Oreochromis niloticus: one gene and its partners. The protein of the gene in region 2 interacts with the protein of the main gene of each other region in a biochemical or structural test. Links are inferred from orthologs where the notes say so. Each region holds a gene or a part of one and is shown on either strand. Other genes may lie near its edges.

Region 1 (7,134 bases), on a different chromosome or scaffold from region 2:
CATCTTAAAGTAAAATTCAACTTCTTTGTGAACTAACACTTATCGTCAGTGTAAATAGAATATATGAGTTTTGAATTACAATGCCTCAACAACGCTCTTCTTCTTTCAGCTGCTCCCTTTAGGGTTCCCCACAACTGATCCTCTGCATCAGTCTCATCCTATCCCCAGCATTCTCCTTTGACATACCAGCCCTCTGCATACGCTCCTTCACTACATCCATGAATCCTCTCTATATTCTTCGCCTTTTCCTCCTGCCTGGTGCCATCCTTTGTTCACTTTAACCACAATCTCACCTCTGCAAATCCCAACTGTCTCAACTTCGTCTCTCTACTCTATCTTTGCCATCTCAACCATATAAGCCAGCTCTCCTTCCACTTACCAGCCATGTCCCCTGTATTTAAAGTCCCTAGTCTAACCTCTACACACCTGTCTTCATTTTTCATTTTATGGCAAACACCATTCCTCCTGATTTATCCAGGATTGGGACTGACATTAGCCGTATACTTGCTTGCAGCTCCCCTGTGGCTGGGTTAGTGCCTCAACAAGGTTACAGCCATAAAAATCAAAAGGATCCATTAATGTGAAACTGTAGACAGGTTCTGAAATACTTGATGTTCAGAATTGGAAAGAGCAGAGGAATGTGAAAATTACTAATTACAGAACAACATGTGTAGAGTGAGCTCATGTTCTGCAGACCCAGGATTTCATAGTGCTCTTTTTTATATGGTATCAATAATAATGCTCCTCTGTTTTAAAGGGAGAAGAGCTAAAAAAGCTTGTTTCGGTTTGTGGATGAGATGAAAGGCTCCACAATTCCTCTGATCTTGAACTGGATAAGTGTTTATCAAATGGATGCAAAGCTAAAGTAGTGGTGACCAAGAATAAAAATATAGAGTGGAAATGAGCATAATACGTACCCGTTTAGGTACGAATGACTGAATGCAACAAAAATATTCAACAAATAAACAAATAACCCCCGAGTAAAGCATTCCAAAACACTGCTAATAATGTGGGTCATCAGCTTGCACTGGATCTTATCCGAAAATAAATGGGCTGAAATAATTTAGGCCACTCATTTGGTGGCAGAATTTTCTGGGCTGGTATTTTAGCAGCACAACGGACTCCAAATATCTCCCAGCTTTGCTGTGATTTTGATATCGCCATATCCAAATTGACGTGTGATCGGACCCCTTGCTCTCGGACGCTTCCTAAAATAGCTTGTGTGAAAGCAGGGTCTGTTGTGCGGAGCTGTCACTGACCCTTTCGGCAGGGGAAGATGCGTTCACACTGACTGCCTTCCTTGTGACCGTAGCCTGCACAAAGATAAAGCATGTCACATTCAATCGCCATAGACACACGGTACCCATGACATCATCCTGTGCACAAGAGGCCGACGAAGCGGTGTGAAGAGTGAGAGCAAAGCAGAGGAACGTGAAGAAGAGCACACAAACCAGGCGCCCTGTGCATGCTTTGAGCACACAGAGCAAAACCAACATGGGCAGTGATGTCAGCTGCTTTCCCATAGAGAGGCTATGGGAAAAAACTGGGGTGCAGCCCCCCTTTTTAACATCTTCTAGCATAAATGGCATATTAATCCCTCACATTTAATTGGAAAAGGTAACATTAAATATGTCACTCAAAGAGTTGTTGTACATAACCACTTAGTTTGAATACAAAACAGTCACTAAATTCTGATGCTGGTTGATGTAAAGCTTTAAAACCATAGAAAGGATTCTTGCAGTTTTGTGAAAAAAGGAAGAACATCTTAGTAGTACATTACATCACATTTCCAACTACAGACACATGTTGCAGAAATAAAAAGATCTAATGCACAGTGTCTTAGGCCAGTCTGCAAGGCTCCGGATCTGAATCTAAGAAATGGGTTTACAAAGGTTGCCCTCTGTTGGTGATTATGAATCCTGCAGAATAGTTGCACCAAAAAGCTGCATACCGTGCAGCTTGTACACCCAAGCTGACTGCCTGTGCTGACAAAGGTTTTTGAAAACCAATTTCTATCTTAATTAATTCAGAATTTATGCTAAAGCTACACCTATTGTGTTGGGGAGTCATGCAGGTATTGAAATTAGAAATAGATGGAACGAAAAACAACAAAAAACCCTGTACACCCCCACCCCTCTTTGTCCCACAATGAAACAATCCCAAACATTAAAGAAATTATATGGCTTAACATTGTCCCTAACAAATATCTGGAATATGTGGAAATTATTTTCCATTCCTTAAATTTTTCTACACTTTCAGCTGATCTGCTCATTAAAGTATGCACAGTTGTAAAGTGTAAAGTATTTTCCCCCCTTCCTGATTCCTTAGGTTTTTGCATATTTCTCACAATCACATGTTTCAGATCATCAAACAAATTTTAATATCAGGCAAAGATAACCTGGGTAAATAGAAAGAAAGAAATTTATTAGGGGAAAAGTTATCTACCTTCCTCCCCATGATGAACTAACTGTGATTAACCACGTTTATCAAAAATAGTAAGGTCAGTTTCTCCTGCCACACCCAGGCCTGATTAATGGCCTGTCGAACCAAGAACTCACTTAATAGAACCTATCGGAGAAGTGAAGTTTGCTAAAAGATCTCAAAAAGTAACGCATCATGGAACGATCTAAAGAAACTCGAGAACAGATAAGGAACAGTCACTGACATTTATCAGTCTGGAAAGGTTTGGAAAGCGATTTCTAAGGTAATGAGACTCCAGTGACTCACAGTGAGAGCCATTATCCACAAATAGAGAAAAAAATGGAACAGAGGTGAACCTTTGCAGGAGTTGCCGGCCTACCAAAATTACTCCAAGAGAGCAACGATGACTCAGCCAGGACGTCACAAAAAACCCCAAATCAACATTAAAGAACCGCTTCACACGTCTCAGTTAAGGTCAGAGTTTATGATTAAAAAATAAGAAAGAGAGCTGGGAGAGTTCAAGGAGAAAACCATCGCTGACCAAAAAGAACACAAAGACTCGTCTAACAAAACATCTTGATCATATATTTAGGAATTTAAGGAAAATAGTCTTTGGACTGACAAGACAAAAGCTGAACATTTGGGAACGTTTGAGTCCCGTTATATCTAGCATAAAACTAACACAGTATTTGGTCAAATGGAGCATCATACCAGCAGTCAAATACTGTGGTGGTAGTGTGATGGTCTGAGGCTGCTTTGCTGCTCCAGGACAGGGACGACTTACCGTAATTGATGGAACTTTGAATTCTGCTCTCTACCAGAAAATCCTGAAGGAAAATGTCTGGCTAGCACTTCATGTCCTGAAGCCCAAGCCTGTTTGGATTATGAGTGGGACAATGATACAAAACACACCAAGTCCACTTCTAAATGACTTAAAAAATAAGAAAAACAAAAACAGAAGCAAAATAAAGATATTTTAGTGGCTTAGTCAAAGTCTGGATTAAAAACAGGTTTCGAGGGCATTTACTTTTTCACAAATTGGGATTTATTTACTAAAATAAATCATAATTTATCTCATTAATCTGTGTCTAATATTAAGCTTTGCTTGATGATCTGAATGATCTGTGACAACTTGTTCACAGTACTGTATAATTGCATAATGTAATTCTTGAATTGTATTTTAGGTAACATCACTACCACTTCAGTTTTTGCGCCTCTTTTATCTACATAGCACAGCCGCGTAGATCTTCAGCTGTACATTGCGTAATTTAAACAGAATCCACCCACTGTTATATAATGTCAGTGTCTCACATTATTCTCCTTCCGTGTTACCGCCAATCTGCACGCCAGACTCGTGCGGCTGTGGTAACACGTTACAATCCATAGATGATCTGCCTCGTGAATCTTACAACCGGTTCTCTGCTGGCTTTTTCCATTTGCACTCCGTCTCACTGCACCAATGTGTTCTTCCGCGCAGCATCGTTCCTAATGTGTTTTTTAAACTTTAGTAAACAAAGAAATAACACGCGATAAATGAAGAAAAATGTAATCACAAATCTTCTGAAATATTTTTATATCGCTAAGTGCGATATTTATTACAGTTTTACACACGTGTCTCGGTAACGGCGGTGAACGGATCTAGTTTATCTCAAAAACGAGTTCCACCCATCTCGCCATTTTATGATTCACTGCTGCTTTGTTGGGAAGGGGAAGCTAGCAAGAGCCATTTAACAAACAGCACGTAACATGTTAGCTTAAAAACGACCTCTTAACAGCAAGACAATTGATTGGGTATTAGCCAGCTGATACTAACCACTGCGAGATCTACATTTGTCGCTTTAGGGGGGGGAAAAAAAAAAACATACGTTAGGACATTAGTTTAGCTAAATCTGCATAGCTATTCGGGCAGCGTGTTTGCTGCTTGTCGCAATTTTTTTTTCTCTGAAATTGTTATCTGCTAGAGGACACATTGACGACCACCGTGCAAGACTCGAAGACCGAGGAGATGGCGAGCTCAGTGGGAAACGTGGCCGACAGCACAGGTTTGCTGTTTTTATGCAAGTAATTCTACACAGAAGGCAACAAGGCAAGCTTCAAAGACGGTGTCCTTGTGTAGGTTTTTCCCCCTTAGATGCGATCGAGCTAGTATCTAACAAATAGACCTTAAAAAAAAAAAGAAAATCGGTAAACCATTTTAGCCACGTTTTTATTAAATTTGTCTTTTGTCCAACGTGGAAGAACATGTTAGTAATAGCAACGCGGGCTCAAATTTCTACCTCGCATCGCGACAATAAAAGCGCTAAAGCTAACGTTAGCGTAATTTAGCGGTTAGCACAGGTTTGCGTCGAAGTAGCCGTAAATTGTCTGCTAGTCACACTTTAATGCAGACGAATCAGCGTTCCACGAAGGTGCTTTAGCGGTTTGCTCGGGGTGCACCATTTTTGTTTCATGTTTAAGGGTCGCTGTAAAAGCTAAGTTAGCACAAAGGGGCTTGATGATGTCTTTGAAATTTGTAATCTGGGGGCCTTGCTACTGAAGTTGGCCCCGCATGCCTCACCGCTTAGCACAGATAGCCTTTAGGCTAATGGTAGCATTTATCCCAAAGGTTATCGGCGATACTGATACCAGAATGTTCTGAACCCCGGCATTTACGCGCATTGTGACTGGTGATTTAAGCAATTTAAGCTATACTCTTTCCACAAGTAATGTTACGTAAGTGTCATGAACGCTTGAGCAAACCGGATCTACTGCATTATTAGCCCTGCAATAAAAGTTTAACTGTATGCTGTGGCTTTGTTTTCTCTGCCCCACCTTGGAGTAACTATTTCGTTTTGTTGGAGCAGAGCGTTTTGATGTGTTCACTACCACTGTGAAGTGGTAGTTATAAAACCATAGTTGTATGTAAAACTATTACACAAGGCCAAAAAAAATTAGAAATTGTATTAGAATAAGTTACAATAAAGTAATCTGGTGTTTTGTTGTTGTTGTTTTTTTAAAAGTACATATTTGATATGTGAAATTACTAAACATCCAAAATGTGTTATGGAGGGTTTTTGCCAGAACTTTTCACACCTGTTTCATCCATCTGCCTGCCTGTTTTCCCATCACACATTATTTTCCTCCATTTTTTTTATTTGTTAGACTTTATTGTGAGTCCTACAAACACAATAAAATGTAAAATCCCCAAATGTGTATCATGACCCCCCCCCCCCCCCCCCCCAACCCCAACCTTGTTTTATGTTGAGTTCAAATTGTTAGTCACTCTTCTTAAATAAAAGCATTTGTCTTTTTTTCCTCTAAAAAAAAAAAAAAAATTCTGTTATCATTTGTCTGATTTTAATTTTTTCCATCACCTCTAACGTGTCGTTTTCCCCCTCCTTGGCTTATGTTGGTGCTCCAGAACCAACAAAACGTATGCTTTCCTTCCAAGGGTTGGCTGAGCTGGCGCACCGGGAGTATCAGTCAGGGGATTTTGAGGCAGCTGAGCGCCACTGCATGCAGCTGTGGAGGCAGGAGCCTGATAACACAGGCGTGCTGTTGCTCCTGTCCTCCATCCACTTCCAGTGCCGAAGACTCGACAGGTGAGGTGTTGGGGGGGTGGAAAAGCACACTGGGCATGTGAGCAGTAGCAGAGAAAAATGGGTCGTCTTGGCTTTGAGTGCACACACTGGGGAGTCCTGTGGAGCAGCTGGGCTGTCTTGTGCAAATCCTGTTATGTGGTTTAACTTGGGTTTTGTGCATTTCTGGTGGTGGGAGTGTAACCTTTCTTTTCAGGTGCTTGGGTCTTTCAAGTAACATGATCTAAATGCTTTTTCACTCATTTCAAATCCTTAAATGTGGACAATGCCAGTAGCATTACAGTCTTGTAATGCTGTTGAATTTGGTATTTAACCATAATATAAATGCTAAACTTAACTTGCATGCTTTTGTTGTTGACCCCAAAAACTGTTGGTTAGTAAAAATGTTCCATGACGGCTCACGGGATCAGATTGAACATGGTGATCTTCTTCGCAGTATTTTCATCATAACTTATGTTGGGCTGTACTGCCTGCACGAGAATTAGTTTGCATAGTAGACATTTGAATAAAGAGTTTTGCTCAGGTGCTGTGGCCCATGTTAATGTGTCTTGATATTTGGGATTTTCATCATATTTGACAATGCATCTTAAACTAATTTTCTGTTCTTTAACATCTTGGGCCTTGCTGTTGTTTCTACACAGCAGTTTGAACCAACTGTGTCAGCTCTGGAGTGTAACCGTTTGTGCATAATCTTTCCTTGCAGGTCCGCTCACTTCAGTACCTTGGCCATCAAGCAGAACCCAATGTTGGCTGAGGCCTACTCCAACCTGGGGAATGTGTACAAGGAGCGTGGGCAGCTGCAGGAGGCAATAGAGCATTATCGCCATGCTCTGAGACTCAAGCCAGATTTTATCGATGGGTACATCAACTTGGCTGCAGCTCTGGTGGCCGCAGGAGATATGGAGGGAGCCGTGCAGGCTTATGTCTCCGCATTACAATACAACCCAGTGAGTTAATTTATTTTTTCTAAATTATATGTGCCAATGCCCTATACATGTATTTAGTTAGAATGGCCACAAATCGGCTGTTTATTGAAATAGTAATTTATTTTTTTTTATCTCCACAGGATCTATATTGTGTGCGCAGTGACTTGGGGAATTTGCTTAAAGCCCTCGGGCGTTTGGAAGAGGCCAAG
Region 2 (7,472 bases):
CTTTATTGAAGTCCCAGAAACTTAAGTTAGACCCTGATCCTTGTGATGGAAGCGCTTTGAGTATCTCCAAAAGGTTCCTGCAGGAAATTATTACTGATGTAAAAATTTTCAGCTGCCACTCTAAAAAACTAAAGAGCAACAAATCCTGCATCCGTTTCAGTCGAAGTATTATGTGGCCTGTTCAATGTGCCATGTTGACAACCTTTAAAAAACAGTTATCTTTTGTAATAAGAGATATGGCTTGTCTGCACCAGAGGGGCCTGCAGCGTGGTAGAAGTTCATGTTTGCCTTACTTGTCCATCAACAGTTTGTTTTTTGTTTACTGTACAACCTTAAAGCTGTAAATACAACAAATCAATTCCATCCACACCTCTCTTTTCAAAATACATATGCTTAGCTGTAATTCAGCTATTACAGGGGCATCGTATGTGTGAACAAAGCATTCCCTCTGACATATAAAAGAATGTATTTAATGCCTGATAATTAAAAGAAACAAAACAAAAACGACTTCCATTCCAAAGGTTTATTTAATCAGACTTTTTAGAACAAACATAACAATTGACATAGAAAGAGAGGATCATTTTCACTGCTCTAAAGGCAAATGCACTGAAAATATCAATCTTTATGCAACCAAGAAAACTCAAAATAACAGTAATGAGGGTTGGATCTACACCATCTAAAGCCCTGATGACACCTCTGATTACAGAGTAAAAATGTAAGCATACAAGTAAAAGTATTTAGTGCAGATCAGTCGAATGTTAATCGGAAGGTTTTCTCCTGCTCCTTTCGCTGAGTGTCGCAAAGTTTGGACACTTCCTCGACCTTTCTCTGCAGCAGAACAGAGTTCTGATCGATCCACTGAAGTGAATCCATGTGGGCGTTGAGGATCTTACAGATCTGCTGCAGCTGATGATGAAAAAAGGAAATTAGACATGAATTACGTGAGCAAATCTTTGTTAATCTTATCGATTATCAAAAACTGGAGGCGTCATCTTACCGGATCACTGGTGTCAGCCGGGCCGCTGGACGTGTTCAGGTGCTCGATGATCTCCTTCAGGTCCTGCGACATCCTCTTCAGCTGTGCGTCCACGTTCTCAGCGAGCTTGTATGTTCTTTCACGCTCCTCGTCGGCGTTCTGCATGTAGATGGTTCCACTTTGCTCTTTCACAGACTCCTCAAGGGGGCAGAGCAGATCCTCCAGCTCCTTCTGTTGGGACAGGATGAAGTCCAGCTCCTGGTTCAGCCTCCTCTGATCCAGCTTCACCTTCTCCATCTCCTTGTGGAGGGATGTGATCTTCTCTCCGTTCTCCACCAGCATGCGGTCCCAGGCATTCACCTGAGTGGCCTGCTGTAAGAAATGTCTCTCCTGGTCCTCCAGCTCAAGACTCCACTTGTTAATGAGCCCCTCTAGCTGGGCATAGGTCATCACTGGAGGAGCTGTGCTGGTGGTGCTGGCTGTGGTTGTGGCTGAAGCAGCTGTCGTGGTGCTTGCGATCGATGCAGTTTTGGGTCCCAGCGAGAAGCCTGTAACAGTACCCGTCGTGGAGGCTGCAGCTGTAGCGGTAGAGGCGGGGGCAGATGTGGTGGTTGCTGGAACCAGAGGTTTGATCATAAAAGTCAAACTTCCACCAGTAGCCGTGGTTGTTGCTGTGGATGTGCTTGCTGCTGAAGCTGAAACGGCATTGAAAGCGAAGCCAGGACCTGCTGCTGTGGCAGCAGCTGTTGTTATAGGCTGAGCGAAGAGAGAAGGCCCGAAAGATGGGGGGGCCTGGGTGGATGCAGGAGGAGCTGGGGTTGATGACGGTTTAATCCCAAAGCTAAACCCTCCACCCTGGCCTGTTGTGGCGGCGGCGGCAGCAGCAGCAGCAGCAGCAGCGGTGGAGGTTGGCTGGGCAAGGCTGGAGGGAGCACTGGTGCCGAAGCTGAAGCCTCCACCTGTGGTGCTGGTGTTAGTTGTGGTGGTGGAGGCTGCCGCTGATGTCACCTGGACCTTGGGACCTCCGAAGCTGAACCCTCCAAATGCGAGACCACTCGGGGCTGTGGATGCCGCCGGTGCGGCTGTTGCTATAGGCTGGGTTTGAGCCTGAGATGCAGCTCCAAAGGTGAAGCCCCCTCCTGCAGGTGCAGTAGCGGTGGTCTGCGCAGACAAACTTGCACCCAGAGTGAACCCCGACCCTGCTGCTGGAGTCGCCGTCGAGCCTAAAGTCAACCCTGAAGCTGCTGTTGTGGTTGGAGGAGCTGCATTCATTCCAAACGTTGTGGTGGGTGCCCCAAAAGAGAAACCCCCGCCGGCTGTTGTGGACTTTGCTGGGGTACCAAAGCTGAAACCACCGGAGGGGTTGGTAGTGCTCTGGGTCTGGATGGGTGAGCCGAAAGTGAAGCCCCCTCCGGTGGCAGGAGTGGACGTTGTCAGTCCAAAGCCGGTGGTAGGGGCCGGGGCCGGGGCCGAGGCTGTGGTTTTCTGCGTTCCGAAAGTAAAGCCCGAAGAGGGCTGCCCAAAGGTGAATGGACCGCTCATTTTCTCCTTAAAGATAAAACAATAACATTATTAAAATCGACTAACGCACAAAATGGTTACTTCCTCGCTGAATCATTTGGCTTTTGGCGGGTCACAAACACACACACACACCAGGGGGAACTTACCGAAGAATCGGCTTCTCTTTTACGACGGCTTTCTAGACGTTGGGGTCTAATAAAGTTGACTACACCCTTCTTAATGTTACTTTAATCGTAACAATGATAAAAAAATCGCAACATATCCTTCTTAAAACGTGGCCAGCCGCCTCGACACTTTTTCAAGTAGGCAGTTCGGTAGTCAACTACAGGAAATGACGGCGTTTGGCGTGAAAGATAACCTTTTTCTTTGCCCTGTATTTTGTCTAGCGGAGTATAACCCGCCTTTCTTAGTAATATTGGCAGGTCTAACGACCAATTAGAATTATAATTTCAGACAACTCGAACTTTGATTGGTTTGGCTTGTCACCTGGCAGACATACGTCGGAGAGTAGTACGCTCAAGTTATCAAAGACCAAATTAACAACAAGAGGTATTACGTTTGTACGCAGTGCGAGCTGCTTCCCACTTCCCATCAAAATCGAAAGTTACATAAAATGAACATTGTTTTATATAGTTAAGATACAAATAATTTTAAGTAACAAGAGGGCGCGTTATTATAACGTTTTTCTAGAGCAAAACGAATATTTTTCTATATAGTTGCACACGCCTATGTTAGCTTAACTCAAAAAATTGCTTCAAAACCACAAGAAACCAGTTCACAAACTTTACGGGAACTTCTGAAAAACTCCTCGATTTTCTTTCAACGTTAAAAGTTTGGCTGTGTAACGTTTACCAATAACGTTACACCAAATTTGGGTCAATAAAGTTTGTTTGAAGAGGTAGCTTATCTTGACGTCGCTGTGACTCTTTGAACTTACTGGCCGCACACTCTCCTTTCCATGGTGACAATTTTCTACCTCTTCCAGGCATCCCACCACGAGAAGCTAAAGGCAATTTAGGAAAACAGTGCTGGAGCTGTGAGAATGGAGGCTGAAACGGCACCAAATTAAGAAAAAGCAAATCATTAATTATTTGTGTGTTGGCAGGCTGTTGAGGTTAGCTAACAAGCTCGTGTCAACACAGATTAGCAAACCAAGCTGCAGCCCTCGCTAGGCTCTGTTGCTGTGGATGCTAACTGCGATTAAACCTAAAAAAAGAGTACCGTTTGTTTATTTATTTATTAAGCAGCAGTCACAGCTGGAGGTGAGGCAATACAAAACGTGCAAGCATGAGGATTTTAAGGTTTCTGAGGAGCAGCGTGTCCATAGGGAAGGACATCGACTACTATTCCAAATTCTCACCCTCCCCTCTATCAATGAAGCAGTTTCTGGATTTTGGTAAGAAGCTGCAAGACTAGTAGATATTTACTAACATAATGCTTTACTAACATCGTTAACGATACTTTGACCTAAAATAAGGAGAATCTTCATACAACGTGTATGATTCATACACATTCTGGAAACTAACTAATATGGAAATAGAAAAAACAAACTAATGTAAAGTTAAACCGAGGATAACTGCCATACAAACAGTCCTAACACAAGCTTTTCCTTCTGTCATGTAAAGGTAGTTGATACCAAAAGAATGTATTTCACAAGACGAATGATACTCTTAAAATCATCTAGCATCCCCTTATTACACTTCCTTGTATTTAACAGGAAGGGATTTTAAAGTATCTCTTCACACATGACTAATGGGATATAATATATGCCCTGTTTGTGTAAGTCAAGTTTGAACACTTGTATGTAAGAATGAAGGTTAGGCCCTTGTTTGATTGGTTGATTTTCTCTATTTCATGATGAAAATGGTCCAGTTTGCTGAAACTATGGAAAGTTTACAGTTTATAAGAGGTTATGGAGCCTGAATGGTTTGGGGGTAGTTTTGCATCTGATATGTAATCCAGCCTTGATGATGGAAAAACTTTTATCATGTTACATTTACAGGATTGTGCAAAAGTGTATATTTATTTGAGTAATGCTTCTAAGGACAGACTTTATTAGGGTTCATAGTAATCTTTGCATTTGTTTAAACTGGAAACTGGACAAGTAGGGAACAAAAAAGAAGTGCCAGGCCTAAAAAACTATAAAAACTATCTGCAGCAGATGTCTTTGTAGGTTCTCAGTCATCCTGTTCATGGTAGTTTAAGGAGCTGGGAAAGAAAGTGACTGGACTTCTATAAGTGTCTTGAAGACGTTTCACCTCGCATCTGAGAGGCTTCTTCAGTTCCAAAACCAAATGCCCGAGAGTCCCAAGTATTTAATCCCTTGTGGGAGTTCTCCCTTAAGAGGTTTGACCAAATTAAAAGACAAAACCCACTTCTTCAAGAAACTTACAGAAGTCCACTCGCTTTCTTTCCAAGCTCCTTAGACTATCATGTCCTTTAGAAATGGGGAAAAACTATAACAAAGAGAGTTCAGGCTGTGTTGCTGAAGTATGGACTATCAAACTTGTTTTTGCCTTTGTGTATTTGTATTTCTATGTATCTTTGCACATGTTTGCTCTACCTGTTTCCCATTCTTCAAGCAAAATATTAAAAAATGAGGCTGACTTGAGGCTTAATATTACACACAGAGAAACAGCTGTCTTGTTTTATTTTACACTTTATCCCTTTACTGTAGTAAGGTGGCATTTGAGCCTTTTGTTTCTCTCTCAGGTTCAGAAAATGCATGTGTGAAAACATCCTTCAACTTCCTCAGACAGGAGTTACCTGTGAGGCTAGCCAACATCATGAAGGAGATTAACTTGCTGCCAGATAACTTATTGAGGACCCCATCAGTCCGACTGGTCCAGAGCTGGTATGCAGGTTCTCCTTTTTTTCCACTTAATTTTAATGAATTAACAGTATTTAACTCCTGCCAGTCTGTGAAATACAAAAAGATCATTTTCCTCCGTGTAGGTACATGCAGAGTCTTCAGGAGATTCTCGAGTTCAAAGACAAAAATGCAGACGACGAGAAAGTCACATATGAGTAGGTTTCCTCTTTTAACCACTGCAACAGCTCATCTATTCCTGCAGATTCTTTTCACGCATTGCTGTAATTTTTATGTCTTCAATTAGTTTCACAGATGCTGTGATAAATATCAGAAATCGCCACAACGATGTCATTCCCACCATGGCTCAGGGCGTTGTGGAGTACAAGGAGGCGTACGGCACAGATCCCATCGTCAGCCAGAATGTTCAGTATTTTCTGGATCGCTTCTACATGAGCAGGATTTCCATCAGGATGCTGCTCAACCAGCACAGTGAGCACATGTTATATTTTTTGTAATGTGATTGCTGAGCTGTACTTGTTTGGAAATGAAAGCCCTCGGGTTCAGGAGCCAGACTTCTGTGCTGATAAGATATCTGAGGTTTCAGGCTGTCTGCATCATTTTAAAACTGCTGCCACAGTAAACCCGGAATCAACTGACCCCACCCAGTGTCATTTTCTGGCAGTTACATGAAAATTAAATGACTTGTGTATTGTTTACAGACAGCAAAGACCAAAACAAGCTCACTTGCCTAAAGTTACACTATAAAAACATTGTAGATAAATAAATATAATATGGCTTATTTTGGACATCACTAAATACCGTGTTTCCTCCCTTGAGATTCTCTATCATGTCTTTACCGCAGCCGCCTTCAGCTGCTGCTTGTTTGTGGGTGTTAATGCTTTTATTTTCATATTTAATTGAACAGCTGCTCTATTGGTTCTCTGAGGTCTCTTAGGTTAAGGTCTGGGTTCCACAATCCACAATGCACCAAACCTCTACGGCCCCTCCTGCGGGTGGTGGACCCACGGGAGAGTGGGCCTGACCACCAGTCTCTCTCCTGCAGGCTACATAGCCCCAACTGAGTTATTCAGAAGGGGCTCAGAGTAGAGTTGCCACTTTTCCACATCTAAAGGAGCCAGTTCAAGTGGCATCTGATCAGGATGCCTAATCAGTGCACGAGGTGTTTCAGGTATATCCTACCAGGGGAAGGCCCTGGAAGAGACCTAGCACATGCTGGAGAGATTATGGCTCTCTTCTGCCTTAGGAACACCTCAATGTCCCCCCAGATAAATTGGAGGAGGTGGATGGGTAGAGGGAGGTCTGGGCATGTCTGCTTAGGGTGGACTCCGTGACCTGAACCCAGATAAGTGATGAGTGGATGGAATTTCAACCAAAGATTTTATTAGAATTTCCTGCACATGGTGACACTGAAAGAACTTGTTACGGCTCAGGCCTCCTCAGGATGGTACTGCTCTTCAGTTTTGTTTTATCTCTAATCAAAAGGTCTCACATTAAACCCTGAACTTACAGAGACAAATATCAGTAAGTATTAATACTTCAAACTGTTCATATTGTGTGTTTTTCTGTAGCTCTGCTCTTCGGAGGGAAGGTGAATCCTGCACACCCCAAACAGATTGGCAGTATTGATCCACACTGTCGGGTCAGCGAGGTTATCAGAGGTGAGACTTTTTTATGTTTATAGAAACATGCCGGAGCAAAGTGTTAATCTATGCTGTTCTTCCAGTTTGCAAGCGTTGTGTAACAAAAACAAACCACTTTCTCGTAGATGCCTACGAAAATGCAAGAAACCTTTGTGATCGGTATTACATGAACTCTCCTGAGCTGGTCCTGGAAGAATTCAATGGTAATTTATGTAGTTAGAAGAAACAACACAAACAGTTTTAATGATGCCGCACTTTGGAAAAACTGTGAACTGGTTAATGAATGAATTGTAACATAATCAAATGTTTTCCAATCGTCTGTTTGTCCTGATAGCCAAAGAGAAGGGAAAACCTGTCACCATGGTCTATGTTCCATCTCATCTGTATCACATGGTGTTTGAACTCTATAAGGTGCTTTTTAAAAGCCCGTATTCATATATGTCAGCATTTTATATTTCAAAATATCTCTTTTCCAATGTTAAACATTTGGATAAACACTTGT
Region 3 (7,779 bases), on a different chromosome or scaffold from region 2:
TATCGCAGGTGACCTTTGGCCATGTGTGGGTTGTGTTCAGGTGTTCTTCCTCCCTCTGAGCGTGTGCGTGATCAGACTGATCACGCTTTTTGAAACTGAGCCTCAATCATCCCTGTTTGATTTTATACTTGTGTCCATCACCTTCGATCAGCTTCCTCTGATCAATCATCAGTTTTCTCAGGAGTATTTGTTGTCTTTGATTTTCTGTTTTCTATTTATTTTGTGCCACAGCAGCGCTTCCATCCACTCCGATTGGAGACATTCCTGTTTTCTGGCTGCTCACACTCCATTTGATCAGCTTCCTGTCGTTGCATCGTTCAGATTACTTTGAGAAATATGAATCTGTTTGCTGAAGAAACCTATTTCTGCCAGGAAAAGAAAAACATGGATGAACAGTCCAAAATCGAGTTTGCAGAAGCACGTCTGGACTTGTTTTATAAATCCTGTGTGTGTGTGTGTGTGTGTGTGTGTGTGTGTGTGTGTGTGTATAATCTTGCTTTTGTTTTAATAATCTTAATTTAGCATAGACTTATTTTATCATATCCCTAGTTTTTCTTATGATTTGCCATCAGTTGATCTTGTTTCTTGTCGTGTTCTTGACTCGTCTCAGGTTATTTCTTAATTTTAGTCACTCTGTAGTTGCGACCGAGAAAATCAAGATGATGACTTTGGGTCTTAAGTTGTTTCATTCATGAAGCGTTTGTTTTCTTGGCTTAAATGGGCTTCGGTCGTTTCTTGTGGGCGTCAGTTATGAAAAAGCATTCAGTTGTATTTGAGCAAAGTTTTGTTTTGTTTTTTTTCATGTTTCCATGGATAAAAGCAGGGAATTTCAATTATAAAGTCGCACAGATGTTTCATAAATGACGTCCAGATGCTCAGCTGTAACTGTTGGGTTTATTTTTCTTGATGTATGTGAACTGCCTGAGTTTCCTGTGGGTGGAGGGTGATGTTCAAAATGTTTTTTATTTTGTGATGTTTGTATTTTAAGATGTACACGTCTGCGACACATCAAATGGCCGATCAAATCACAGCGGTTTTAATGACTAAAACTTACTTTCAGGATAGACTAGAGTAAATGGATTGCCTTGAGCCAGCTGGCAAGTTGGTTAGCTGCAGTCAGTGCTGCTTTACCTCCGCTGCTCAAATATCACTCAGACTATTAAAACTAGTGGACAAAAAACGTCAAATTAGTGAAAACGTCCTCTAGCTAACCCACATTAGCGACAAGACCCTTTTTAATTTAGGGATTTATTGTTGTTAGCCAGCTAACACGCTAACACTAGCTCTTTAAAGATAAAAATAAAAACTAAAGAATTGAGTAAATTGCATAGAGCAAAATAGCTAATAATATAATGTTGGAACTTACATGAGAATCTGGACAGGAATATTAAAACCTGAGGGCAGGAAATAATTTGTCAAGTTAATTTATAACAGCTAAAGATAACAGAATTAGTTTTAGCTAGCTAAATTATTAAAGTATAAACTAAAAAATAAAAAAAACAAAACACTTTTTTTTTGTTAGGGAGATTTTTATTTATCAATAAGCTAACAAGCTAATTCTGTTTAATTTTAGCTTTGAAACTTGTCAGGAAAATTCCAAAATAAGCAGGAAAAGGGTTGGATTTATCAGACTAGCTGAAGTTAACTGCAAAGGCTGTAGAGGTTTAGGGTTGGCTGGGTAAGAATACCTGATACTGTTAAAGTTTAAAAAAAGAAAATGAGCGGGAAAATGGCTACATTCTTTAGGCTAGCTCAGAGGAGCTAAAATACCCAGAGGTTTAGCTAACATTGATTCAGAACTTGGTCAGAAAAATAAACGTGGAGGAAAAGATTAACCAGGTCTAAAAGTTTAGTTTTTGTTTGTTTGATATTTTTGTTTTTTTTGTTTGTTTTTTTTGTAATGATTACATTCTCAAGCTAATTGGTGTTAGCTTTTTGGTTTAGAGTAAAGTGTTCACGTCTTTCTGGGGACATGATCGTAACTGTTTACTGTCTGCTATTAGTCATTTTCTGCTGTTTGTTTTAAATATGTTAACCGTTGCCGGTGTTCAATTCTTAGGAAAAAAATGCAGCATCAGCACCTTCTGTTAGTTGGTATGAGTGAATATTGCAGCGCTGCAGCCGAGGTATCGCAGTGTTTCCTGCAGCAGTGCGTCGACTTTGGGCTGCTACCGGCTGTGAAATAAAAGTATTATGGGTAAATTTCAAATCGCCTGTGACGCCTTGTTGTGCCATAAACGCACCAGATCAACTGTCAGCATATGAATGGGTCATTTTTTTTTTTTAAACATATTTTATTTTTTCTATTTGATGAGGGGTTTTTTTTTTTTTTCTTTTTTCTTGTTTTGTTTTGTTTTGTTTTTTCGTAGGGGTGGCGCCTCGCATGCTCTCTGCCGCTTCAGCTAGCAACAAATGAGGAGGTCAAATGTGACTGGACGATAATTGCTAAGTAATGAAAACTGTTTTCGAGTCGGACACCTGCGCTCTCCTCTTAGTAAAAACTGAATCATGTGGTGTTTGATGTCCTTTTTTTTTTTTTTTTAAAGATGCACTGGATCATCATCTTCATCTTCACCTTTTGCCAAATGTAGTTTTTGTTGTGAAAAGGGGCATTTTATCCTGTTTTCCCTCTGTTGGGTTCTTTTTATACTTTGTCCATGACTCTTCCATTGTGTTGATGTTAAAAAAAAAAGAGGAAGATGTTGGAACAAACGGTAAATAGACACAAAAAGACCAACTCAAGGCAGCTACGTATGAGTGACTACTGTAAAATGACTAATAAAGAAGCAATGGGTTTGTTTTTCAGCTGTGTCTCTTTATTCAGCTCGACGTGTTTTATTCAGACTTTTCCTGCGTCACTTCACCTGCACTCACCTGGCTGTGGCCTCTCTCCTCTAATTATATATTTAAAAAATCAAATTATGGAGCACTTTCCTCAAAGTCCTAAAACAGATCAACACAGAGTCAGACACACAATCATAAATGTGTCAGTATGAATGTCTGCAGCTGCTTTTAGTAAAAACCTCTGAATCAAAGTCGAGGAGTGACACCCAACCCCTCTCTCTCATATATATAAAATTTAAAAGCAGAACATTCTAAATATCCTGTCACTGACTGGAGCAGACCGGGATGAACACAGGAGGTTTTCTGGGTTTCCGGCTCGTGCTCGAGTTCTCCAACATCGTGGAAGAACGTATGACTCTGGTGTTATCTGTAACAGCCTGTTCTTGCAAATCCAGGAGCCCTCCTCACCAGAGCCATGTCTACACCTGTCCATCACCCATCAGTCCGAGTCCAACTTACACTGGCAGCTGCAGGTCGGCCTGATGATGTGTCCATGCAGTGAGGTGATATTTCCACCAGGGCCACAGAGCGCTGTCACAGTTCAGTTTTATTCATGTCGCTCTGAGCCATCACGACGGTGTCTTGAGACCTTTTAATCGCGCCTGGTTTCAGAACTCGGAGATGATGATGGAGATGCTCGAGGCTTCGAGACAGGACCGACTAACAACAAGATTCCGATCTCTCCTTCAGGAAGTCCTTTCCTTCAGCAGCACTTCTTGCTGCCCTCTGCATGATTGACCTGAACGATCACTTTCTGGTTCAGGCCTCACCACCTCCTCGCAGCTCGGCCTCCCACCAGAGATGAGGAGTCCAGGCAACAGAAAATAAAGTGAGCTCTCCTTTAATGGAGGCCACAGGCAGGAGGACGGAGGAGGAGCTTGAAGATCGAAAGGCTTTGACGACCTGAGGAGAAGCTGCTGACAGAACTGCTGACTTCCTGTAATTGCTTTTATACAGCGCTTTCATGTGACGTCATTGTTTATGTTTTTGTGTGTGTTTGGTGTCTTTGTCTTCTTCCTGTTTCACGTCAGTCTGAGGACAGAAAACATGACATTGTCCTGCAGCAGGTTCAACGACACACTCACAGACACGTGATTTCAGCACAAACCAGCAGCTGGAGCGCAGAGCAGCTACAGGTACCAGTACAAGTACTTAGTTACTTGCAGGAGAGACTCCGTACGCCGAAAAGAAGCCAAGAGGTGCGTGCTGCTGCTGCGTTCTGTGTAGCTCGGAATCCACAGCATCAAAAGGGATCTTTGAAGAAAGAAAACGTTTTCAGCTGAGCAAACTTTAGCACAATTACTGCGCTCAGCGTACTTTTTCCTCCAAACGTCTCATTTTGTCAGCTTTGGGCTCCATCCACCTCCCATCGGGAGGAGGCCCCGGGGCAGACCCAGGACACGCTGCAGAGATTATATGCTGACCTGAGAACGCCTTGGTGTTCCCCCGGATAAACTGGGGAGAGGGAAGTATCGGCCTCTCTGTTTAGGCTGCTGCCCCTGCGACCCCGCTCTGGATAAATGGAAAAGAATGGATGGATGGGTTCTAGTGGGAGGAAGGCTGGAGCCTATCCCAGCTACCAATTTAATTTAATGGAAAGGTATTTATAATACTAACAGCTGTTCGACTGCAATGTAAAAGAAAATATTTTCAACAAATGAATGAATACATAAAAAATAAACTGTGTAGAATGAGATATTATGTATTTGTGTAGTTTAAAAGTGATGTATGATATGTATATTTTCAGTCATCAGCTCCTGCTCCTTTTCAAGCATGGATGCAGTGTTATTTTAATTGAAAGGAAGGTTTGTGTGTAGGAAATGAATTACTGTTGCACCATGTGTGAAACAAAAATGAAATGAAATCTCAGTGTACTGAGACAGGATGATATGGTGTCCGGCGGTCCCTAAAGGCACCACGTTTTCGGCGTCACTGCGTGATATCCCTCCGCGGGAGAGAAGCGCGCGGCCCTTTCCCTCCCTGTAGCACAGGATGCGAACGGGCGGAGGTGAAGAGACGAGACGTGACTCTGCGCCGACGCTGTCAACATTTCCCGCAACATCAGAGTGAGAATACGCCGAACGAACACCGGGGAACCTCCGCCACCTGTATCACCAACTCAACCCGTCCTGTGCCTGACAACGACCGAGCTCCGTGGAAGAAATATAATCCACTGTGGGCGCTGCGCGGCAACCGAAAGTGTCGGACTGAAGAGAGGCAGCCGGGGGAAGGAATGGAGCTCATCACGATTCTCGAAAAAACCGTCTCTCCGGGTGAGTCCCTGCACCACGCACCGCACACAGCCGGCGACCCGGACCCGATGCCGAACCCCGGGCCGGGGGGTGCGGTGTTTGCGAGACGGCGGGCTGCCCCGGAGCACGGGGGAAAGTTGGAAGCAGGGAGGAGGGAAACCATGCTAGCTCACTGTGCTAACCCGCTAGCGTTACGGCCTGACGCCGCTGGTGACTTAGCACTCTTCCGGGCGTTTAAGCACACTTTACTGGCATTGGTAACTCGTTAGCCTGTGGACGGGAAACCAGAAGACGCTGTCATATCGTCATCAAGTCGATTCGGGCCCACATAGGCCGTAATGCCGGCTGTATGTCCCCAATCAGAAGCCGCGACCCTGCCCATGCCCGGGTTAGCCGCTAGCTTCTTCGCTAGCTCGGGCCATTCAAACTGTCGACCGCTTTCTCGGTGTGTGCTCCCGGGTAACGCCGCTTTAGAGTCGCCGCGGGTACAGGCGAGCGCTCTGGTTGTGAGGTGACCTCTGCTCCGCTGCTTTAAGCGGAGTTGACGAAGTTTTAGCGGCTCCGCTGTTTGCACATAAAACTTCATGCGCGTCTCTGGAAACGTGTCGGCTAGCTTTAGCCTGCTAGCAGAGTGCAGGTGGCTAGCGCGCATGTTGCAGGGTCGGTGTGCTTCTCGGTACCACAGAGGGCTCTCACCGGGGTGGGAATTAAACTTTCTGACTCTGAGGTGACTCATTAGTGCGGGACATCGACCCCGGGCCCAGGTGCTTGTGTGTGAACGTCTGCTGAACACGTTTAACCACCGTGTGTTAGCCCGTCCGCTAACCAGCCCCCTCCTCTCTTCTCTGTCCGCAGACCGGAATGAGCTGGAGGCGGCGCAGAAGTTTCTGGAGCAGGCGGCCATAGAGAACCTGGTGAGTATGGAGGGAGAAGCAGTCGGAGCTCAGGCTGCTGCAGGAGAGGAGCGGACTGGGGCCGAGGACTGCTGGATCCCGCCGGCTTTTCCTCCTTCCTCCTCCCCTTCCTCCCTCTGCACAGGCGCACACGAACACACGCACACACACTGTTCATAAATGTGTCACAGTGAAAGCCTCTGTTGGCTCCTGATATGACCGTGCCAGGGTCTGCATGCTTCAGCCACTTCAAGGTCTTCATCAGAGGGCGAAGGTGATGCTCCCACACTTCTGCATACCCTTTTTGTGGTCCTGACCTTTGACCTTGCCCTCACATACTATTTAAGTACAGATGTTAACTTCAAGCAGAACAGGAAGTGGTTCGTAGCAAGTATAAATATGTATGTCCAGCGACTATATCTCTGTAAACACCCCGTAAACGGGCTGTTTCTGCTGGTCACATGACAGCAGCTTTCTGTGACCAGGTGTGACCGGCAGGTGTGAGCAGGTGGCTCTCTGTGAAACATCAGTGTGAGGGTCACAGCTGTTCCAGGGTCTCTGTGAGGGTTGGAGGCCGTCTCCACGGGTCGCTCATCTTCAATGTGTGGTTAGTTTTGACTGATATTCTGTAGTGAGGGCGGGGCTTGATGAGTTAGGGTGATGTGGGTACGTGGTTTACTTGTTACTCAGGGAAATGTTTAAATGTGCTTACAGATGTGGTGACTGGCATGTACAACTCCAACTAAAAGGTGCAGATGGTGGGGGAGTTGGGGTAGGGCCGGTGGGGTTTGCAGTAAAGCCGCCATGGGGCCGTGGCGGTGTGCGGTGTAGTTTGTGACCACGTGGGTGCTGTTGTCACGTGTCACTGGGAGACCAGGTGAGCCATCCTGAGCAGCAGGTTCACCTGAAGAAATGTGTCTTCCTGTTTATACGCACAGACACTCCTAATGATCGTCAGCTGCGTGAGGTGATGTCATCGTCGGACCAATAAAATCAAAGACGACTTTCTGTAGTTTTTATTTTGTAGTTTTTGTAGCGTCAAGAAGATAAATATCAGACTCTGTAGTCACATGACCTCGGTGTTAGAGACAAAGGTGAGAACAGTTACCGTTTATCTTGCAGTTATAAATGAAGCCCCGCCCCTCCGCTTTACAGTGTGTTGACAATAAAACCGTAAACTCGGCAGAGTGTAACCTGACCAGGTCCATAACTCCTGCCACACGCCGCCATTGCGGCCCGAGAGACCACTGATCTAATATTTAAAACTGACTCAGTTCAAATCCAGATGTTTCAGCTGGATCGTGGTTTCTGCATGCTAAAGAACATCTGCATACACACAGTGTGCTGCTGTGGTCGTCTGCTCACTGCAGAGGAACAGGAAGCTGTCTGTCCAGAGAAGAATAAATGTTCTCGTTGGAGCTGATTGAGAGCACCTGGACACCTGCGTGAGGCGTGACGCTGATGGCGTCCTGCAGACAGAAGAAACGTAGTTGGCAGTTCTTTGCTGTTTGCCTCTGTCTGCGTGTGCTACTGCCACCTTCTGGCAGCAGGAGCACGCTGCATCCTATCAGGTGTGAGGGGAAAAGTATTTTAGTACAAAAATATCTTCACCTGTTTTCTTCTCTGGTCTGATGTTAGTTGTAGCTCGCCGTCCTTCAGCCTGAAGCAGAGCGACGGGGTCAGGTGTGCCTCACCTGACTGGCAGGATGTCTGGAAGCAGAGTGAGCGATCCGATCACTAAGTCTGTGTTAAATGCTCCGCCCAGCAAACTGACACAGACTTCATGTTGA
Region 4 (7,095 bases), on a different chromosome or scaffold from region 2:
CATAGAATGCGTGCCCCGAGGGCCATATAATGACATAAGGGCTAAAGCTAGGGGTTACTCAATGTTCTGATTATTTAATAATACCTGTGCAATGTATAGACAAGACTGCTTATTTTGTTTCAAGACAGATTTTATTATATATAAATACAATTCCATCATAAAAAATAAAACCATTTTCAACAGAAGTTCCACACATTTAAAAAGGTGGAGTCAAAGAACACAAAATGTGACAGTTTCTGTCAACTAAACTAAGAACTTATTGACAAACTGTTTACCTTTGTGCCTTTGGCAGCACTTTGTAATTATATAATCACAAGTTCTCAACTATAGAGGGAAAAAAAATTCAATCCAAAGATCCATGGCTTGGCATGTGCATGGTATGTGCGAGTGAAAACGACATGCTTCCAAATAATAATCATCATGACCACAAGCCACAAGTTCAGGAGTAAGTCTGACAATGCAAGGCTGATGTCTAGACCGCTCGATTATCAAAATCCAGATATATTCTGGTCAATATTGGACAATTATTCACTGACTTTAGAAACATTTATCTATTTATTTATTTTAAAAGGCTTCCTAACAGTGAATTCCCTTAAACTTGAAATTAACTTCATATATGCATATTAACCAAAAAAAAAAAAAAAAGTGAACTAAACGAAACATGCTACTACGTAGACAGGAGTGAGTTTGGGTAAAAATCAACACAAAAACTAAGGACTTTTTAGAAAACACTATTCTTTTCATTCACCATGTTTTCTGACTCAGTCTTGTCGCATTGTTTAGAACTAAATGACAGCAAAACTGAGGCTATTTTATTCAGCCCTCCCAGCCCCACAAACATCTTCACTGAGTTACTTGCTCATTTATCCAGATATGTCGACACTGTCATTAAAAATCTTGGTGCTTTTATTTCCTTAACTTTTAACAATCAAATCAGGAATTTTGTCAAAAGCCGCTTGACAACATTCACCAACTGAGAACCATCACCAAATGAAAACTAGTTTTGTATCCAAAGAACTAAAGAGTTATCAATGCCTTTATCACCTCTCAGCTGGACTACAGCAATTCCCTGTGTGTAGGATTGCCCAATTGCACTTTCTTTCATTTACAAATGGTTCAAAGCACAGCCGCTCAACTCGTACGAGTAAGCAAAGCTGTTTTAGCTAAGCTGCGCTGGCAACCTGCAAAGTTTTGAATATATTTAAACATTATTTGTTTTAAAGCCCTCTATGGATTAGCTCAACAAATATATTACAGATCTTTTAACTCCACATCACATCACTGAGGTCATCATCACAATAACTTCTCTTGGTGTCCTTTTCTCACATAAAATCTAAAAATGACCAAGACTTTGCAAATATTGCCCCTAGGCTCTCGAACTGTCTGCCACTTCTATATTTTATTTTTTTTAACTGTTGTCTGACATATTTCTCAGTTATAAATTTTAATATGCTGCCTGTCTGTTATGCAAGCTATGTGTTTGTAAAACACTTTAAAATGTGCCATATACATAAAGTGACCTGAGTGGACAATACCTAAATCCTAAATCATAAGGATTACAAACTCGAAATTAAGGAAAGTGAGCTTATTACAGCAAGTGTTTACTCATAAACACCTACATAAGACAAGTCCAACTCACATATATAGATCCCAGTTGTGATCTGTCAGAGTCAAACATCTGATAGTAGTGCTGCACAAAGCTGGATCCTATCTGCTCCCACAAAGGCTGGTCCACCATCCTGAATCACCCTGCAACTCACACTGAGCGTGTGGGAGAGAGCGAGTCAGACAAACGTAATGAGATAAGAAAAAGGGCAATGCATAGAAAAAACAACAACAACAACAGCACCACCACCACCACCACCACCAGCAGCCTCCCACTTATATCAAAACTAATTTATAGTCACCAGATGTCAACATAAGCTTCAGATTTCTGAAAACCCTCTTGGACAGCCCTCACTACCATAATTCAAGACAGTATTCTGGGATGATGTTGTTTTATAGAATCAAGCTCTTAAAGCAGCGAACAGTACAATAGACTGTACAGTACACATTGCTTTGATTTTTGTTAAAATTTTTTAAAAGAAAAATATGTTTTTAACTAAAGACCACAAAAAAATAGCATATAGATCCTGTTTCATTGACAAAAATAAAGGTTAAAATTACTTATACTGAATGAGCCAAAGTATATTTTGCTGCAACGGATCCCTCCGCTCGGGTGACACTGACAGCCCAAGTCATGTGCTCCCACATAACGATACACGGCTGTTACTGGAACAATCCGAGCGCTCTGCACATTAGCAGTAGACTGCGAGCAACATACCCCGAATTGCGACCACACATAAGTAGTTCAGGGCCCCGTAAATATAGTCAGAAGTAAAGGGAGATTGAGGAAACATGAGCAAGTAACGTTAATGTACGAAAAAGCTCATTTTTAACTACTTAACTCTAGCTAACTAGCTGCTGCTAGCTTGTGTCATGTTTGCTAATGTTGACTCAGCCTGTGCTAGCACAGACAGTTCATATACGTAGCATGTCTCCTCGCCAGCCAATGTTAGGCGTCAGATAAATTATATTTCCAGGCGTTAGCTGATCGGCCAGCTGGTAGTAGCCTGTTCACCAGTTACTAAAAATACCCCGTCTGCTTTGAGTGTTCATACCTCTTGCGGGCCCGCGCGCACAGCTCTGGAACCCCGAAGCAGCTACTCTACATAGGCGTGTCCGTCGTTAGCCCCAAACCGGCCAATAGCAACCGATTTAATAACTTATACCGCGTCAGGCTTGTTCAAATGTCAGATTAAACTAGCGCTTTTTGTTTTCGAACATGTTTCCATTCACTATTTTGTAAGGGGGCACCATAAAAACTAGTAATAAAAACTTACCTCTTACGCCGAGGCCGGCTGCACGATCGCACAGTGCAATGTCTGCTCCGCTACGAGGGTACGTACAAAAAGCCGTAAAAGGCCCGATGCATTATGGGGATTGTAGTATATACTCAAAACACGCTCAATTTGCTCGTCTGTCACATTTGACATAATACTGCCACATTCTGATACATACTATATAAAGATATGTCTATTTAAAAGTGTGTCATTTCCAAATCACACGTTTTGATGATTTCTGAAGTGAAAAAACAATAAAAACCCATGGAGTAACAGACAATAAAAATGGTAAGTCAAAAATGGTTTTATTTTATTTGATGTACAAAGATTAAATGTGCTACAGTCACCACTGTCCAGCAAGAACACTTACATTACATTAGCTTTTAAAATGACATCAATTTGCAGCACAAAACAGATTTAGTAATTTGTAACTTGTGCCTTTATTGTTCTCTTAGGTTAGGTTGCTGAGTCCACCAGACTGAGAAAAAACGCATAAGCAAAGCTTTTTACCCAAACACGATTTATTTCTGCAGTCAGCAGCAGTAAAGGCCACCGCAAATAGATCCACAAACCAACACACCCTGGTTTGTTAAAAACATCAGATCTACATTGCACAAATTAGGTTTCGATAATTAAATAAAATATACTAATTTGTTTGAGTTTTATTCAATATTAGGGGTTACTGTCAGTTGCCAGTTCTTGGATTCCTTATATTTGTACAGTCAATCAAAAGGCATTTAAATGCACACTTGATGAATACCACTGACACAGAAATAAATAAATCTATTCTCTTACTATTTTAGTTAGTTTCTATAGTTAGCAACTATCTATCTATTTACTGAATTATTTTTACAAATGAAGTGCAGCTCATATGGGTTGTGAACCTTCTCAGAATAAATCCTTGAGATTATATAATAACCCTGTTAATATCAGGGCATTGGGGAATCTTTTATTGAGCCCTAGGTTGCAAAGCATTTTTTAACAGTCAAAGATTGGAAGACATTTTCAAACATGCTATCAGCATTTGAAATATAAAACTGGCAGAGAAAGGTGCTTATCTGGGGTGGACATATTACCATTAGCAGCACATTAACTTATCTGTTTCTGCAGAGCATGGACTACAACGTCACTGAGCCTCACCGCTTTCCTTGTTTTGGTCCTGAAAGAAATTAATTTTACTACATGTGTTGCTATCTACTCTCAAGCTACAAGTAACACATGTTTAAATACTAAAATTCTCCCATTAATAGGCTACACAAAACTGCCTGATTACATCAACGCCAAGGTGCTGAGGACCTGTGCTAGCCAGCTGCCCATGATCCTGAGTCACATTTACAGCCAACGTTTGAAACAGGAGATGATATCAGTATTAGGGAAAACATCCTGTCTAGTTCCTGTACCAAAAACCTCAACACTATTAAGAATTTAAAGCCTATTGACCACTTGCCATTACATCATATTTAATGAAGATTGTCGAGAGATAAGTACTGTCCAACATAAGTGAAAACATCTCGTGACCCTCTGCAGTTCGAATACAGAAGCTACCAGAAATATGAACGAACATTGTCCACTATCTCCTGGATTAATGATTACCTGTCCGACAGACTGCAATTTGGGAGACTGGACAGTACAGTACAGGAGCTCCAAAGGGAACTGTGTCATCTCCATTTGTGCTCACCTTGTACACCTGAGGTTTTCAGTACAATTGTGGTCTATGCAATCTACAGAAATACTCTGACAATTCTGCAGTTGTTGGCTGTACTAGCTGTGGGTGGGAAGAGGAGCACAAAGCACTAGTGGGTGAATGGACTGACCTGGGAGGATTAATCTGCTTCCAAATGTGAATAAGACCAGAGCGACTGCGATCAACTTCAGAGGAAAGAGGACAACTGACCCATGCCTATCCTGGGACAGGATGCTGATGTGGTGGAGGAGTACAAATACAGAGGCATCCATATCAACAACAGGTTGAACTGGAAGACCAACACAGAAGTTGTATCCAAAAAGAGGATGAGCAAGCTCTACTTCCTAACGAAGAGAGCAAAACGAGAGCAAAATCACGGAGATTTTCCATCAGCCAGTTGTAGTGAGCACAATGTGCTTTGCTGTGGTGTGCTGGGGAAGCAGCATCAGAGCTGGTGACTTGGATGTTGTAAATGAATGTATTTTTTTAAACAGGCTCAAAAAATGTTACATTATTCAGTTCTTTATTCTCTGTCATACATATTGTGTTACAATGTTGGATACTCATTTTAAACATGGCCAGAGTTTTCAATGTTAAAGTCAATATACGTGGCTGTGAGTCATTGCTCTAAATGCCTTCTCCTACATTTGTTCTTCTCCTGAATATGTATGGCTTCATAGTGAATGGGGATTAATCCCTAAAAAGGTCATCTCAAGCGCACACTAACTGTGAACACAGAAGTTCCACCCACTTGCTTTTCAAACGCTCTGATTTCGAGGGGCAGCCAATCAGAAGAAAGTCTGCTTAAAGGAAAGAGGAAAGTATGAAGTGAAGGACTCCACCAAGGCCCAGAATAAAATAAACAGGGATTATTTTGAACTGTCAGTCATGCAAAGATACTCTGTTAAAGGAGAAGAATATGAATGTAGTAAATGAATGGACATGGCATAGTAGGCCCCTTTTAATACCATATCAAAGAAAGTAATATGAATTAAAATTATTTTAATAAGATGCATTTAGCCTGATTAGCACAGTTAGCAAAGCAAAAATCAACAAAAACACTTAACCATTTCCAGGGAACAAATGAAAATAGTTCTGGCTGATTTTACAAGGCTTTAATTTTCCCCAGAACAAAAGAGGTGAAGGGCATTGTTCTTACATTTGTTTTACATTTGTGTGAATAAGATGAATAAGATCATTGAACTGTTGCAATACAGAATGAATACTATACGAGTATTTCACTCACTGTTAGGAAAGTGGTTTTAAGATTTGATGGTACATTTTCCACTGAATTGTCAAGGAGCTGAAGGTAAAGCTTGGAAACTCACAAGTATCCCAGTGGCCACAATTTCTAATATTTAATTCAGCATCTTCACAATTTTGATCACATGTTGTGAATTACATCAAGGCTCAAACTTGAGACCCCAGCCGCTAAACCCAGGCTCTAAGAGGAGATGGGATCACCACTGTTGCCTGCTTCACCTTGAGATGAGGCCACATGTAGATCCGTTTCCTCTCCAAAATATGTTGTCCTGTGGGCTTCCCTATACATATGAACACACACATATATACACATGGCTCTCATTTGACATAGTAAAACAGAACCAGACACAGAAAATTACTCATAACCTTCAAGGGTTATCTGAACTGATGGTATAAGGCTAGGCAGTAATGTATGCTGCACATATTTTAAAGCCCCTTGAGGCAAAATTATGACTTTATTCAGTATAAATAAAACTGACTCATCCAGTATTTATTTGTGTGTGCATGCATATGTGTGTATGTTTCAATGTATATCTATTTTTATCACCTAGACTCATGGACAGGGAACATGTTGCTCTCAGGGGCATCAGAGGTGACTGGTTCCTCTTGTTGCTGGGACTGAATGTGGCTTTGCCACTGGGACCCACTCTCATCAGTCTGAAAAACATTTTGGTGGCAATGTTTGGTCGCTACTTTTTTTGTCAGTTTACGATGACATTTTGCAAATATTATTATTTCCTCCACTCTTTATGTCAAGCTGTCTCTAACGCTGGAATAGCAGTATCGATCTTCTGGACCCTAATTTATTCATATTTAGGCTCTTTATCAGCTTTATCAGGTGACATTTATTAGATTAGAGACAAATATTGACACACACATTACATTTATTAGAATATTCATAGGATTGAAAATCTGTTCAAGTTCTACATACGTAAAGTACCTGGACAGAGGTTGAGACGTGTGTCTTGGCCTGCATGCTGCCTCTTTTGTGGAGTTCCAGCAGAGTGTCATGCTCACTCTTTAACTGATCAAAGTCGTCCTGGAGTGTCTTCAACTTCACAATAAAAAGAAAAAAAAAGTCACCAAAGACTGTTGAGATGTTAAGTCATGAAGTCTACATATAGTATCCAGCATGAGATACCTGTAGCTCGGTCCGTTGGTGTTTCTGTTCAAGGGCGTCCCAGTCACACTGGGGCACAACACCCCAGTACTCTGCATTCATCCTGTTCAGTTCCTCCTGGGCGTTCCTCAGGTCTTCTCGACACA

The links.
Region 1: of the proteins of nup62l (region 2) and ogt.1, one has a biochemical effect on the other in vitro, tested with the Homo sapiens proteins (2 studies listed by BioGRID). The link is inferred for Oreochromis niloticus from reciprocal best matches to the Homo sapiens genes NUP62 and OGT.
Region 3: the proteins of nup62l (region 2) and kpnb1 form a complex in vitro, tested with the Homo sapiens proteins (2 studies listed by BioGRID). The link is inferred for Oreochromis niloticus from reciprocal best matches to the Homo sapiens genes NUP62 and KPNB1.
Region 4: the proteins of nup62l (region 2) and nutf2 form a complex in vitro, tested with the Homo sapiens proteins (3 studies listed by BioGRID). The link is inferred for Oreochromis niloticus from reciprocal best matches to the Homo sapiens genes NUP62 and NUTF2.

What each region holds. Positions count from the first base shown.
Region 1 is NC_031966.2:27,677,623-27,684,756, forward strand, and holds the start of ogt.1 (UDP-N-acetylglucosamine--peptide N-acetylglucosaminyltransferase 110 kDa subunit), read left to right. Parts: upstream 1-4,116; 5' UTR 4,117-4,426; coding exon 4,427-4,463; intron 4,464-5,821; coding exon 5,822-6,002; intron 6,003-6,702; coding exon 6,703-6,946; intron 6,947-7,065; coding exon 7,066-7,134. UniProt on the Homo sapiens protein: Catalyzes the transfer of a single N-acetylglucosamine from UDP-GlcNAc to a serine or threonine residue in cytoplasmic and nuclear proteins resulting in their modification with a beta-linked N-acetylglucosamine (O-GlcNAc).
Region 2 is NC_031987.2:16,402,539-16,410,010, forward strand, and holds nup62l (nucleoporin 62 like), read right to left. Parts: upstream 2,825-7,472; 5' UTR 2,644-2,824; intron 2,525-2,643; 5' UTR 2,519-2,524; coding exon 998-2,518; intron 907-997; coding exon 748-906; 3' UTR 509-747; downstream 1-508. Other genes in the region: pdk1 (pyruvate dehydrogenase (acetyl-transferring) kinase isozyme 1, mitochondrial), read left to right, coding at 3,785-3,893, 5,210-5,351, 5,453-5,524, 5,614-5,798, 6,899-6,988, 7,096-7,173, 7,305-7,381. UniProt on the Homo sapiens protein: Essential component of the nuclear pore complex. The N-terminal is probably involved in nucleocytoplasmic transport.
Region 3 is NC_031969.2:34,683,112-34,690,890, forward strand, and holds the start of kpnb1 (importin subunit beta-1), read left to right. Parts: upstream 1-4,769; 5' UTR 4,770-5,077; coding exon 5,078-5,117; intron 5,118-5,951; coding exon 5,952-6,010; intron 6,011-7,779.
Region 4 is NC_031972.2:6,984,684-6,991,778, reverse strand, and holds the start of nutf2 (nuclear transport factor 2), read right to left. Parts: upstream 3,019-7,095; 5' UTR 2,883-3,018; intron 2,789-2,882; exon of another isoform or gene 2,661-2,788; intron 1,762-2,660; 5' UTR 1,739-1,761; coding exon 1,640-1,738; intron 1-1,639. Other genes in the region: tsnaxip1 (translin-associated factor X-interacting protein 1), read right to left, coding at 6,011-6,110, 6,377-6,486, 6,770-6,883, 6,971-7,095. UniProt on the Homo sapiens protein: Mediates the import of GDP-bound RAN from the cytoplasm into the nucleus which is essential for the function of RAN in cargo receptor-mediated nucleocytoplasmic transport.